Saccharomyces cerevisiae S288C: one gene and its partners. The protein of the gene in region 4 interacts with the protein of the main gene of each other region in a biochemical or structural test. Each region holds a gene or a part of one and is shown on either strand. Other genes may lie near its edges. The genes, in order: SUI2, NIP1, GCD11 and TIF5.

Region 1 (3,069 bases), on a different chromosome or scaffold from region 4:
ATTGACATGTTTGAAAAATTCTATTCTTTGCACTGTAGTCCACCTAAGCCACCGACTAGGACCACTTCACTTAAGTATCAGTCAGACTTTCCTTTGAAAATATATCAGTGTGTATCCGCATGTTATCTGTTTTGTTGAAAATCACATGAGTGGACGGCCCCTTTGTCTTGTCTTAGTGTTCCCCAATGATTTAAATGCAATTCCGAAGGAAAGGGGGGAGCCTCATATTATTACAGCATCACTACCTTTTGAGGTAAAAATATCTCATGTGAAAAAGATAAATTATAGAGAACCGGCAGGGCATGCTCCACTGACAACCCCGTGGTAACAGAAATTAAATTTTGATTATGATTAAATGGATTGTAATATTTATAATAGCCAAATGTACAAGGTGTATATTGCAAAGAATATGATATGGCAGGATATACGTATTTGTTCTATACAAAATTTTCTAAAACAGTATGACACTTGAAAACACCTAGAAAAATTAGGCGCGGCAATGATTACTCGTCGTCTGACTCATCCTCATCGTCTTCAGAGTCAGATCTATTATCTAATTCTTTGCTTTCTAATAGAGCTTGTAACTCAGCGTCTTCAGTAGCAGTGACAGCCTTTGGTGGCATGGTAATGTTGCAAACACCGCCGTATTTTGTAATAACCTCTGTAATTTTTTCAATAGCGCTTTCCAGTTGTTCAATACCTTTTTGCTTATCCAAGGCTTGGGTGGTCAAAACATATAATGGGGCGGCGACTAATTTAACTTTAACTTGCATTTGTTCTGTGGACATGTCTTCAGCTGATTTTAATGCGTCTTTAATGGCATCGATACCTTCGTAACTAAAACAAGACACTTCAACATCGGCTCTAATCTTTACAGCTTGTGGTGTTAATCTCTTGGAGATATAGTTCTTTAATTCATCTAAAACATCTTTTGATGGCGGTTCAATACCTTCCCAAACAGTTTCGTCAATGATGGATAGTTTGAAAGCTTCGTAAGCGTGACCAAATTTTCGACTTAATGGCCAAGCAATGGTCTTATATAGTTCTTCCAAAGGGATTTGGAATTTTTCGGCACAGTATCTTAAAATGGAATGAACAGTCTTAGATTTTTGGTATTTTTCTTCACATTTAATGATATCTTCAGAAGAAACACGACGTTTGGACAAATCAATATAACCTTTTTCTTTGTCGACACGAAGAACAACGGCGACATCATTTTTACCAACACGAATTAATTTTTGGATTGACCTAATACGTCTACGGGACAATTCACTTAGTAGAATCATACCTTCAATGTTGTCATATTCTAACAATTTAACATAAGCACCCATTTCAGCAATCTGCTGGACGTTAACCATGACGATATCGTCAATTTCTGGGTATTTGTTTTCATAAAATCTGCAATGAGAAGTGGACATTATTTGGTGTATTATAGAAGGTGCGTGAGGCAGCAGAAAAGACACAAAAATATGAAGACAAAAACTGATTAGTAAACAGATTGCACTTTACTCTTTAATGACCTAGGAAATAAACAATGGTTGAAAATTTGTAAATGCGATTTTATACTACTATTTCATCAGATTTGTGCTTTCTCTTCTTCTCTTTTTCGCCTCTTCGAAGAAAAAATTTTTCTCCGACTGCGGGTAAGAAAAAACGCTCATAGTTTTTCTACCAGCTGTGACAAGAAACGTATTTTGAGCTGAACGATGAATGCTCACTTTTACATATAAAACTTAATTGCATATCTATGTGGAAATTATTCCTTGTTTTATTTAAATGTCAATCTTGACCGTCTCTGCTTCTAACGTTTCCAAATCCAGTAATATTATCATCCCAGTAGAACTGAATTCAGGGACAGATATTATCTTTATGTTCTTACCACCTATTTCCACTACTCTTGTTCCAAAATATGGCTGGTTTGCCACAATGTAAACGTGGGGCCACTTATCCAATACAAATGGATCCTTATCAGTGTACGGATAACACCATAAGGTATCAGGTGCGGTGGGCGCGATGTTTTGCCATTTCATTGTACATTCCATAAGGTCCAGGCGATGCTCTATATCGTCTTTGAAATCATTACTCTCGCCCTCCTCGACCTTGTTTTCACTTTCTCCGTTATCATTTGATGGTATTACGTATTTACAAATATCATTGATATTTTTGCCTGAAACGGCTAGAACGTCTACGCCATTATAGCTAAACTCATATGGGTTGGTCACTAAATTCAAAATTTCTTTGTTAGAACCGTTGAAGTATGATTCTAGGGACTTATCAAACAATGATTTGTGGAAAGGCTGTTGCGGTAGAGATTTGTCACTTGGATCATTGGTTCCGGGCATAATATCAACAGATATAGATGGCAAAATGTTGTGTAGAAATTTACTGAACTCAGTTAGAGAAATCATCAATTCGTCTTTGTTCACGCTTTTAATGTCGAAGTCAACAGAGTTGCCGCATATCAGTAATCTACCAATTAGAGAAATGTCGTCAATTTTGTTATTGATTCTCCCCATCAAAAATTCTCTCAAAATCTCCAATCTCAATAGCCTATCAGGTGATGTATTATTGAGGTTTAACCCAGAAACAAGAGCAATTTTTCCCCTGGTGGGGCAGGTAGCAATTGGTGCAGGGAAAGGATTTTGTGGTAAAGGAGTGGGGTAGCATATGTCTAAAACTTGAAATGTCCCGGCTTCAGCTTCCATACCCAGTATACCTACAACAACACCCGTGATGAAGGGTGTAGACCGAATAAAATCTCCCACTAGAAGCACTCTCCCACTTTCATCTTCGAGCATAATTTCATCAGAACCACCCTCTTTATCAGTATAACTTTTAGTTAAATCTGGTGCACCATATGTATCATTGATCACTTCGTCCAGTACGTTTGGTTTATATTTCATCTCGCAATATATGGATCCTACGCACCAACATGGTTGGTTTCCCTGAATATCTAACACTTTGTCCTTTTTTAGAACTAATTGGCCATTCAAGGTAAAGCCCGCATCCCATCTCTTGTCACATTCTTTTAAGACGCGTTCTCTGAAAGTCTTTAGACGGTATTGATAA
Region 2 (4,515 bases), on a different chromosome or scaffold from region 4:
TACGACAAAAGAACCATGAAACATGACACCTCCATAACGTTTACCTATACTAAATATATCTTATTTTTTGGATTCTTGGTACATAAATATGCACTGTTTGTTATCACGCGAAACGAACTGATTTTTTAACAAGCTTTATTTTATACATGAAAAATTTCCCATCGATGAGCTGTGATCGGCAAGTGAGAGTACTCTGTTTCACAACTACTACCGGTCCCAGGAATATATACTACTGACCACAAAGCTGTGTATCACTTAGTTTGATGAGCAGCACGAGGAAGTTCAAAAAGGTTGAGAAACCTCTATCACAAACCAGACATTATTCACTCTGTATCCCCACGACATTGGTATCGGACTGTCGCAACCTCTCTCAAATCACGCATAAGGTGTACCAAGTGGCCAAGTTTGCATCGCTGTTTAATGTTTCTGAGGTTGTCATTCTTGAGGACAATTCCCAGGTCGATGCCACCAAAAAAAAAATCTCCACTGCTAAATTAATACTGGCACTTTTACAATACTTCGTCACGCCTCCATATCTTCGCAATACTGTCTTCAACGAAAAATTCAGACCTTATTTGACCGCCGCTTCAAAATTACCAAGATTATCCACACTTCCTTTCACCAGGTACCAAAAGCAAGATCACGGTCGGTACAGAGAAGGCCTCACTATCAAGATGCAGAAACCCACCTTGGCTCGCAAAAAGATTGGTAAGGTATTCAAGCAAACCAAATATATTAATATAGGGAAAAGCAAAGCACTGGCTCTACAAAGTCAGCTGGTGCCGATAAACGCAAGGGTCACCATCGACACAATAACGAGGAAAATTGTATCTCCTCAGGAAGCTTACGGTGATTTCACCGGATTGGACTCGCAGTATGGCTACTATACTCGTATAGCGTCATCGTTCACAGACTTGTTTATGAAGGGGCCTTTAAAAGAGGGTTATACACAATCAGTATATGTTCCCTTAACCACGAGAGACACCTCTATTCCCGAGTTATCATCACTGCCTACCGCCGAAACTAATCCCCACATCTTATTGGTATTCTCAACGTGGGACACTCTTGCTCGAGCATTCAAACTGGATCAAGATCAATTCGTAGATTGTCAAGGTCCTCAAGAGTTCTTTGATGCTCAGCTACCATGCCCCGTATCCAATTCGGACGTTGCAGATGCAATCCCCATGACACTGACAACTCTTTCAACTGTATTTTAATCCCAAATTACCTTCATGCAATGGATAAGTACGTATATATTAGAGACGCAATCATTATTATTACTGTCACTTTCCTCTACTCGTTGGAAACGACCAAGCTTTTTTTTTCGCATTTTTTTCGCCGTTGAAAAATTTTTCAATGAGAAAAAGAGCTTTGAAAGGAATGAAAAATTAGCTACAGGTTCGCAGTTGCACTTGTTAGTAGAGTAGCATAGAAGGAAAAAAAGGAGAACAAGGCACATATTTGCAATCTTCACACAATAGCCTGCCAAGCCCGAGATCTACGAAAATGTCCCGTTTCTTTTCGTCTAATTACGAATACGATGTAGCCAGTTCTTCATCCGAAGAAGATCTTTTATCTTCGTCTGAAGAAGATTTGTTAAGCTCTTCCTCCTCTGAGTCTGAATTGGACCAAGAATCTGACGACTCCTTTTTCAATGAAAGTGAAAGTGAAAGTGAAGCTGATGTAGACTCTGATGATTCTGATGCAAAGCCTTATGGTCCTGACTGGTTCAAGAAATCTGAGTTCAGAAAACAAGGTGGAGGTTCAAATAAATTTTTGAAAAGCTCTAACTATGATTCCAGTGATGAAGAATCCGATGAAGAAGATGGCAAGAAGGTAGTCAAGTCTGCCAAAGAAAAACTATTGGATGAAATGCAAGACGTTTATAATAAGATCTCTCAAGCTGAGAACTCTGATGACTGGTTGACTATTTCTAATGAGTTTGATTTGATCTCGCGTCTCTTAGTTAGGGCTCAACAACAAAACTGGGGGACTCCAAATATTTTCATCAAGGTTGTTGCCCAAGTGGAGGACGCTGTGAATAATACACAACAAGCTGATTTGAAGAATAAAGCTGTTGCAAGAGCTTATAACACTACAAAGCAAAGAGTCAAGAAAGTTTCTAGAGAAAATGAAGACTCAATGGCTAAATTCAGAAATGATCCTGAATCATTTGATAAGGAACCAACCGCAGATTTGGATATTTCTGCTAATGGATTCACAATTTCTTCGTCTCAAGGCAATGACCAAGCGGTACAAGAAGATTTCTTCACTAGATTACAAACAATAATTGACTCAAGAGGTAAGAAGACTGTCAATCAACAATCCTTGATTTCTACTTTGGAGGAGTTATTAACTGTAGCTGAAAAACCATATGAATTCATAATGGCTTATTTGACTTTGATTCCATCAAGATTCGATGCCTCAGCTAACCTATCTTACCAACCAATTGATCAATGGAAATCTTCATTCAACGATATTAGTAAATTATTGTCTATTTTAGACCAGACAATTGACACCTACCAAGTTAATGAATTTGCTGATCCAATCGATTTCATTGAAGATGAACCTAAAGAAGATTCTGATGGTGTCAAGAGGATTCTGGGTTCCATTTTCTCATTTGTTGAAAGATTAGATGACGAATTCATGAAATCCCTGTTAAACATCGATCCTCATTCCAGTGATTATTTGATCCGTTTAAGGGATGAACAATCAATCTATAATTTGATCCTAAGAACTCAATTGTACTTTGAAGCGACTTTGAAAGATGAACACGACCTAGAAAGAGCATTGACACGTCCATTCGTCAAGAGATTGGATCATATCTACTATAAATCCGAAAATTTGATAAAAATTATGGAAACTGCTGCTTGGAATATCATACCTGCTCAATTCAAATCTAAATTTACTTCAAAAGACCAGCTCGATTCTGCTGATTATGTCGACAATTTAATAGACGGATTATCGACAATCTTATCCAAGCAAAACAACATTGCTGTTCAAAAACGTGCTATTTTATACAACATTTACTACACTGCATTAAACAAAGATTTCCAAACTGCTAAAGATATGTTACTAACTTCCCAAGTTCAAACAAATATCAACCAATTCGATTCATCCCTACAAATTTTATTCAACAGGGTTGTTGTTCAATTGGGTCTATCCGCCTTTAAATTATGTTTGATTGAAGAATGTCATCAAATTTTGAATGATCTTCTGTCAAGTTCTCACTTAAGAGAAATTTTGGGCCAACAATCCCTACACAGAATATCTCTCAATTCTAGTAACAATGCTTCAGCTGATGAGCGTGCTAGACAATGTTTGCCATATCACCAACACATCAATCTCGATTTAATCGATGTCGTCTTCTTAACATGTTCCTTATTGATCGAAATTCCAAGAATGACTGCCTTCTATTCCGGTATTAAGGTCAAGAGAATTCCTTACTCTCCAAAATCCATTCGTCGTTCCTTAGAACATTACGACAAGTTAAGTTTCCAAGGTCCACCAGAAACTTTAAGAGATTATGTCTTGTTTGCTGCCAAATCAATGCAAAAAGGTAACTGGAGAGACTCTGTTAAATACTTAAGAGAAATAAAATCTTGGGCTTTATTACCAAACATGGAAACGGTGTTGAATAGTTTAACGGAAAGAGTACAAGTTGAATCTTTGAAGACTTATTTCTTTTCTTTCAAGAGGTTCTATTCAAGTTTTTCTGTTGCTAAACTAGCCGAATTATTTGATCTTCCAGAAAATAAGGTGGTTGAAGTTTTGCAATCTGTTATCGCAGAATTGGAAATCCCAGCCAAATTAAACGACGAGAAGACCATCTTTGTTGTCGAAAAGGGTGATGAAATTACTAAATTGGAAGAAGCAATGGTAAAATTGAACAAAGAATATAAAATCGCTAAAGAACGTCTTAACCCACCATCAAATCGTCGTTGATCAATAAAATCAAAAACTACTTCGAAAGCATTCTTAACAAAAAATCATTGTAGATAGAAGAATAACATCAGCAACCAAAAAATATAGAAGGAAACTAAGCAGGAGAGTATAAACCATATTCACTTTTGCTTTTTATTCTTGATATTGCTCATCTTTTTTTTTTTCGATTCTTTTAGCGATCTCTTTATTTTTAGTTTTAGGGTTTGAATCTAATCGTCTTCACTGTACATTACACATAAGCAAATATATATATAGTTTTTTTTGTTACGTAAACACTCTTTATAATATAATACAAACTATTAAACTTTAAGAAAAGTATGATATGCCGCTTTATTTCTTCATCAAATATAATCTCAAAATATATGGATCATGAGTGTTGATAAATAATCCAATAGCCTATCATGGACTATCTGTTTGACATTCTAAAAAAAAAAATAAATTGTACGAACTGCAGTAAATCGGTATTATCATCATGACGCACGATATCAATTCTTTGCAGAAACTGAAAAATTTTTCATTTTCTACCCAGGAAAAAAAGAAAAATGAAATTCACTAAAAAAATGGGAATAC
Region 3 (3,948 bases), on a different chromosome or scaffold from region 4:
AATTACAGTTAGTTGTCACTGCAGATGCAAAAGCCACAGTGATTTGGGATTCCTTCACATGTGACGGGTCAGTCGTGCTTCGGTTTACTTCTGAAATTTATACAGAATCAGTCTTGAGATTAGCTAGAGACGTTAACGCCGGTGACCCACAGTTTTCACTCTGGCCTAACGTGACACAAATGGATCCTGAAACTAAAAAACTGATGACGGCGACCATAAGTGCCGACGGCGGAGGCCCTTCTGAAATTGACCCTAAGTTGGTTGTAAATAAAATCGATTGGTCTTTCAGTAACATCCTGAACACACATGTCCATTTGTCAGAAACCAAACTAGCTGATCTGATTTCCAAGTATGATATTGTTCGCGCTTCTATTCCATTGGGCAGAAGGTCAGCTCAAAGATTAGGAGTCAAGCCCGATTCGATGGTTCAAGTAGCTTTACAAATAGCTCACTATGCTTTGTATGGAAGAATGGTGTTTGGATTAGAACCAGTATCCACACGTGGTTTCAAAAACTCGAGATCATCTTTTATTAACATTCAAAGTCAAGCGCTGTTGGAACTATGTCAATTGTTTATTTCTAGCTCCATTGATGGGACAGATAAATTAGACAAATTTATCCAAACCTGCGAAACACATAATAACATGGTTAAACATGCAAAGTCTGGGGTAGGTTATGAAAAACACTTCAATGCATTGAAATATCTCTTCAAATTTCATGACCATTTTGGTATCCACTTAAGTGGTGATGAATCATCTGCTGCGAAAGATCTTTTCGAAAATCCACTTGTTTTACCTTTCTCACAGCCTGAGTTGATTGTTGCCAACTGTGGTAATGCTGCTACCACGACATTTGGTATAACTCCTGCTGTACCTCATGGCTTTGGAATAGGGTACATCATTAAAGATGATCAAGTAGATTTGACCGTGACATCGCAATTTCGACAGGGTGACAGGTTAATGTTTATGTTAAGTTGGGTGTTAGGCGAAATTCGTTCCTACTGGAGGATGTCACGCGGCACTTCTCATAATAAAACTGGCGTGAAGATCAGTCCAGTGGTCGATAAATTGTATGAAATGGACAATGCAGTCAATAATCCTCCGAAACGTAACGGCCATACAGTCAATGGCTCCCGCAAAACATCTTCTTCATCACAGGTAAATTTGAACAGGTATGGCGGGTTTTTCGATTTGGAAGGCCACATTGACAGTAGGAATATATCTAAAACACCATCGATGAAGAATTTGCAGAAAACCTTCAATGGCTTGACCATGAGCGCAGACAATGATCATTCAAGTTCCGCAGTTTCCGTTCCCACAGAAAAGGAAAAATTAAATACAGGCCATGAAATTTTACAGATCCAACCGCGGGAAGTGGCAAGTAATGGGTTGGAAGCAGATGATGAGACAGATATTGAAATAGTTGCTGGCAATGCTGATGGCACATCCTCTTCGGCATCTTCAGCTACATCTCTAAATTCCAAGAAACGTAACGTCATCAACTCAAGATTCGATATTGATTTTGACCGCAGTCGTGTGGGTAGAAAGGTGGCGACCTTAGATCAATAAGAACGCTCTTTGTTTATCTATTTATTACTAGCATTATGCGTAAGCTTGGCGTGATGTGATATATACTTGTTATATGAAGTATATCAATATGCTTTAATTTATGCTTATTATTTGCTCTCATGTCAGTAACCCGGACCAGATTTGCCATTGAAAAAATTTTCATAGAATAGCCCGATGCTGATCATCAGTACAAAAGACAGAGATTTCATCTCGACCTGTACCAGGAGCTAAGCAAAGAGGGCGGAAAGAGCGTAATACACCGTTAACATCGCGCATTAGAGGTAGACATGAGTGACTTACAAGACCAAGAACCTAGCATTATTATCAACGGTAATTTGGAACCAGTTGGTGAACCAGATATCGTTGAAGAAACGGAAGTTGTAGCTCAAGAAACACAAGAAACACAAGATGCTGATAAGCCAAAGAAGAAAGTCGCCTTCACTGGCTTGGAAGAAGACGGGGAAACTGAAGAAGAAAAAAGGAAAAGGGAATTTGAAGAAGGTGGTGGTTTGCCCGAACAACCATTAAACCCTGATTTTTCAAAATTAAACCCACTATCCGCCGAAATTATCAACAGGCAAGCTACAATAAACATCGGTACCATCGGTCATGTCGCCCACGGTAAATCCACAGTAGTTAGGGCTATTTCAGGTGTCCAAACAGTCCGTTTTAAGGATGAATTAGAACGTAACATTACTATTAAGTTAGGTTACGCTAATGCTAAAATTTATAAATGTCAAGAGCCTACATGTCCCGAACCTGATTGTTATAGATCATTCAAATCTGATAAAGAAATCAGTCCTAAATGTCAAAGACCAGGTTGTCCGGGGCGTTACAAATTGGTCCGTCACGTTTCTTTTGTTGACTGTCCCGGTCACGATATCTTAATGAGTACTATGTTATCAGGTGCTGCTGTTATGGATGCTGCGTTACTGTTGATTGCAGGTAATGAATCTTGTCCACAACCTCAAACCTCAGAGCATTTAGCTGCCATTGAAATCATGAAATTAAAGCACGTCATCATCTTACAGAATAAGGTCGATTTAATGCGTGAAGAAAGTGCCTTAGAACACCAAAAATCCATCTTGAAGTTCATCAGAGGTACCATTGCTGACGGTGCTCCTATTGTACCAATATCCGCTCAGTTGAAGTATAACATCGACGCAGTTAATGAATTTATTGTCAAGACTATTCCCGTACCACCAAGAGATTTTATGATTTCTCCAAGGTTAATTGTTATTCGTTCATTTGATGTTAATAAGCCAGGTGCTGAAATCGAGGACCTGAAAGGTGGTGTTGCCGGTGGTTCTATTTTGAATGGTGTTTTCAAATTAGGTGATGAAATTGAGATTAGACCAGGTATTGTCACCAAGGATGATAAGGGTAAAATTCAATGTAAACCAATCTTTTCTAACATTGTCTCCTTATTTGCCGAACAAAATGACTTGAAGTTTGCTGTTCCCGGTGGTCTGATTGGTGTTGGTACTAAAGTTGATCCTACCTTGTGTAGAGCTGATCGTCTTGTCGGTCAAGTCGTCGGTGCTAAGGGTCATTTGCCAAACATTTATACTGATATCGAAATCAACTACTTTTTGCTACGTCGTCTATTAGGTGTCAAAACAGATGGTCAAAAGCAAGCCAAAGTCAGAAAATTAGAGCCAAATGAAGTTCTTATGGTCAACATTGGTTCTACCGCTACGGGGGCTCGTGTGGTTGCCGTTAAAGCTGATATGGCAAGATTACAGTTAACGTCGCCCGCTTGTACTGAAATTAACGAGAAGATTGCTTTGTCGAGACGTATCGAAAAGCATTGGCGTTTGATTGGTTGGGCAACCATTAAAAAGGGTACTACATTGGAACCCATCGCTTAAGGAACCAATAAAACCACTGCAAAGACAAAAATTTCATAATTAATCTGAAAGAAAGTGAAGATAAGAAACGGGCTAGGAGGAAGGGAAACTGACACTTCTGGTTATTGCAATATGCTCATATACATTGATGCGTAATGACATTGATGATCTTTATTCTCTTTTTATAACGTTTTCTTTCTTTTTTTTTCCTTCTTACATAGTATTCAACTGTATATTTAACATGTTTTACGTATTTTTAAGAAAAAATTACTAAACGCGATAATATTAAGCAAATATTTATCTCATAGTTCTCGAACTCATTTATTTCCCATTGATGCCATGAAAACCTCTCAAACCTTTATCGTCTAGTTACACCAGTAGTCAATAAACTGCCTTTCTTTTTTTACACCCAACATACTCTACACTAAATCTTATCGGTGGTTTGTACATGGAGACAATTGCACAAAGATAATGAAGCTCCAAAATTATTCAGTATCTATTGAGTATATATAACCTTGAAAAGGTTTTAT
Region 4 (3,579 bases):
CACTTCATCTATACCAGACTTCGCCTTGATTAGGCCCGGCGTAGCGATGGATAGTTCATTAGACGAGAAAAACATCCACAGGCCTATGATTCCTAATGCTGCAACTATTCTGATGGCATGGCTTCTTTTGACTATCTGTTTCATCCCTTCGTTCCTTGCACAATCTGTCCAGACTTTCCTCTTTACAAATCACCAGCCTTCCCGTCTTCTTGTCTTCATCACCCACGTTTATTGTTTAATGATAAAGCCTTTTGTCCTTTATTTTTGGTTCCTTTTCCCGCTTCGTTTACCCGGTGGTTAACCTTTCTCTTCCATCTTGTAATATATAATAACAAAATGCATCACCATACTTACGCACCCCATATACATGACCTAAGGGCAGCTTTAGACACAACAGCTCCCCAGAAAAAATGTCCAAAAGAAACACTCCACCGCTCAGATCATCAGGGATAAACACTATTCAAATAAATGCTGCTAGAGAAATGCACGCTCAAACGGTGCGCGCTCGAAGAATGCCCATGCCAACTAGCGGCATCACTACACCCTCTGTGCAACCAACTGCAGCCCCAGCAACACCACCTCGACATATTTGCAATAACCCAAACAATCCGCAGTGTCTCCACTGTGGGTCTGTTATCATTCCATCTCCAAGGGCCACGTTACCCTTGGAGGACAACCCCTCCATCTCCATCAACGACTGGACCATCTCCTCCAGAAAGAAGCCCATTTTGAACTCGCAGGAATTAGACATCTGGGAAAACGAAAAACTCAAAGGTTTGACTTTGCCAGAGATGATTTTTGGTAACAACTACATCAGGATCGAAAATTCAAAACAGCATTGGTCCATAGAGTTCAATGCCCTGGATGCTTTAAAGGAGGTTCAACTCCAGGATTCAGGTATTCGTGTTGCGTACTCAAACGACTGGATAAATTCTAAAAAAAGACAAAATTCAACTAATGGTGCGCAACGGTTCACTAACGATGTGAACGACGATTCCTTAAATATCATACACAAGTACGACTGGACCTACACTACGCGGTATAAGGGCACAGAGAGCTCACCTGAGTCGAAATTCCGACTGGATAACGATCAAAAGCTGCCCCTTGACAAACTGGCCGTACACGATAAAATCCTATTCTATGACGACATGATTCTTTTCGAAGACGAATTGGCAGACAATGGCATATCAATCCTTAACGTCAAAATAAGAGTTATGAACGAAAGGTTACTGCTGCTGAGCCGGTTCTTTTTAAGGGTGGACGATGTTCTGGTGAGGGTCTACGACACCAGGATTTACGTGGAGTTTGACGAAAACGTAGTGATCAGAGAATCCAAGGAATTTGAAGGTAAATATCAGGATGTACTTGCTAAGCACCGGCTATCCCAATCTCACGACCCAAAAGCTGCCTTGAGAGATAGTAATTGGGTAGCACAGAACACGCCGATGATCAAAAGACAATGTGAAATAATTCAGTTCTAACAATCAAATATACAAAACAATACGTACAAATACATACACGTCACATATACATAAGCTCCGGATACATCATACAAGAAATGATCTTAAAATCATGCTCTTACCCGTTCTGTAAATAGTGAAAAATTTTCATCGCGAAGTATGAACGAAAAAAAAAAAAGAAAATAGATGAACTTTTAGCATTTAATTAGTGGCAAACGCCTACCCCTCCTTCCCACTTTGCTGACTTACAAAGACACCACTACATTAAAGAGTATCTCGTGTGTTCTTCTTTTTTTTCCAAAAAAAAAAACTCCTATTATTTGCATAAACACACGTTCACTGGTACAAGATGTCTATTAATATTTGTAGAGATAATCATGATCCATTTTACCGTTACAAAATGCCTCCCATCCAAGCCAAGGTGGAAGGTAGAGGTAACGGTATCAAGACTGCCGTTTTGAACGTCGCTGACATCTCTCACGCGCTAAATAGACCTGCTCCATATATTGTCAAGTATTTTGGTTTCGAATTAGGTGCTCAAACTTCCATCTCTGTTGACAAAGATCGTTATTTAGTTAATGGTGTTCACGAACCTGCCAAATTGCAAGACGTATTGGATGGCTTTATTAACAAGTTTGTTCTCTGTGGAAGCTGTAAAAATCCAGAAACGGAGATCATCATTACCAAAGATAATGATTTGGTTCGAGACTGTAAAGCCTGTGGTAAGAGAACTCCAATGGACTTGAGACATAAACTATCATCCTTCATTTTGAAAAACCCACCTGACTCCGTTTCTGGTTCCAAGAAGAAGAAGAAAGCAGCTACCGCTTCGGCCAATGTTCGTGGTGGTGGGTTGTCCATTAGTGATATTGCTCAAGGTAAGTCTCAGAATGCACCTTCAGATGGCACCGGCTCATCCACTCCACAACATCATGACGAAGACGAAGATGAATTATCTCGTCAAATCAAGGCGGCTGCCTCTACCTTAGAAGATATCGAGGTCAAAGATGACGAATGGGCGGTTGATATGTCTGAAGAAGCCATTAGAGCTCGTGCCAAGGAACTAGAAGTGAACTCTGAGCTCACTCAACTGGATGAATATGGTGAATGGATTTTGGAGCAGGCTGGTGAAGATAAGGAGAACTTACCATCAGATGTGGAGCTTTATAAGAAGGCTGCAGAACTAGACGTCTTGAATGATCCAAAAATTGGTTGTGTCTTGGCGCAATGTCTATTCGATGAGGATATCGTAAACGAAATCGCTGAACATAATGCATTTTTCACTAAAATTTTAGTCACTCCAGAATACGAAAAGAACTTTATGGGTGGTATTGAAAGATTTTTAGGTTTAGAACATAAGGATCTAATCCCACTATTACCAAAAATTTTGGTACAACTATACAATAATGATATCATCTCGGAAGAAGAAATCATGAGATTTGGTACCAAATCATCCAAGAAATTTGTACCTAAGGAGGTATCCAAAAAGGTTCGTAGGGCTGCTAAGCCATTCATTACGTGGTTAGAAACCGCTGAAAGTGACGATGATGAAGAAGACGACGAATAGCTTAGGAGGGGGCAAAAGACTTATGTGTAAATTATTATATGACATGGCGTAAGATAAGGATTATGTTCTGTTGTTTTTGAGCTCGTTGATGTATAGATATGTAAATATTTATAAATATAATATTTCTTCCAAGTGCGACATACTTGGTACTGGCAAAAAACAAAGATGAGACTTTTAAAGCCACTGATTGATTGATTAATTATTAAGTAAAAAAAAAAAAATAAAATGTCGGTGTAATTTGGCTCCACGATCGCATGCGTATACATAACATGAGATTACCGAAGATTTTTCTGAAAGGTAATGCATTATATTATAATCATTAATAGAAGTAGAGCCTAAAGCCTGTTGAAAACTTGTACAATAGAGGAAAAAAAAAGGGTCATTAATCGTCATGTTTACCTAAGAGCGTCTAAACTTTTTGGTATTCTTCTGGGGTAAACGTAAAAACATTGCACCAAGGGCAAAATTGAAAAAAAAAAAAGTTTAATAGAACAGAATGATTAAAATCATTAGCTAATATCCGTATGACCTGTAGCGGTACAAACTTGTATC

The links.
Region 1: the proteins of TIF5 (region 4) and SUI2 form a complex in vitro, tested with the Saccharomyces cerevisiae proteins (3 studies listed by BioGRID).
Region 2: the proteins of TIF5 (region 4) and NIP1 form a complex in vitro, tested with the Saccharomyces cerevisiae proteins (6 studies listed by BioGRID).
Region 3: the proteins of TIF5 (region 4) and GCD11 form a complex in vitro, tested with the Saccharomyces cerevisiae proteins (2 studies listed by BioGRID).

Annotation. Positions count from the first base shown.
Region 1 is NC_001142.9:449,369-452,437, reverse strand, and holds SUI2 (translation initiation factor eIF2 subunit alpha), read right to left. Parts: upstream 1,419-3,069; coding exon 504-1,418; downstream 1-503. Other genes in the region: MHO1 (Mho1p), read right to left, coding at 1-8; DNA-directed DNA polymerase delta subunit POL31, read right to left, coding at 1,773-3,069. UniProt on the Saccharomyces cerevisiae protein: eIF-2 functions in the early steps of protein synthesis by forming a ternary complex with GTP and initiator tRNA. This complex binds to a 40S ribosomal subunit, followed by mRNA binding to form a 43S pre-initiation complex.
Region 2 is NC_001145.3:892,418-896,932, reverse strand, and holds NIP1 (translation initiation factor eIF3 core subunit c), read left to right. Parts: upstream 1-1,506; coding exon 1,507-3,945; downstream 3,946-4,515. Other genes in the region: PP1-complex regulatory subunit GLC8, read left to right, coding at 1-19; UPA2 (putative methyltransferase), read left to right, coding at 264-1,217. UniProt on the Saccharomyces cerevisiae protein: Component of the eukaryotic translation initiation factor 3 (eIF-3) complex, which is involved in protein synthesis of a specialized repertoire of mRNAs and, together with other initiation factors, stimulates binding of mRNA and methionyl-tRNAi to the 40S ribosome.
Region 3 is NC_001137.3:203,396-207,343, forward strand, and holds GCD11 (translation initiation factor eIF2 subunit gamma), read left to right. Parts: upstream 1-1,855; coding exon 1,856-3,439; downstream 3,440-3,948. Other genes in the region: carnitine O-acetyltransferase YAT2, read left to right, coding at 1-1,568. UniProt on the Saccharomyces cerevisiae protein: As a subunit of eukaryotic initiation factor 2 eIF2, involved in the early steps of protein synthesis.
Region 4 is NC_001148.4:646,895-650,473, forward strand, and holds TIF5 (translation initiation factor eIF5), read left to right. Parts: upstream 1-1,809; coding exon 1,810-3,027; downstream 3,028-3,579. Other genes in the region: ERV2 (flavin-linked sulfhydryl oxidase), read right to left, coding at 1-144; IRC16 (Irc16p), read left to right, coding at 1-301; TIP41 (Tip41p), read left to right, coding at 411-1,481; PUF2 (Puf2p), read right to left, coding at 3,541-3,579. UniProt on the Saccharomyces cerevisiae protein: Catalyzes the hydrolysis of GTP bound to the 40S ribosomal initiation complex (40S.mRNA.Met-tRNA[F].eIF-2.GTP) with the subsequent joining of a 60S ribosomal subunit resulting in the release of eIF-2 and the guanine nucleotide.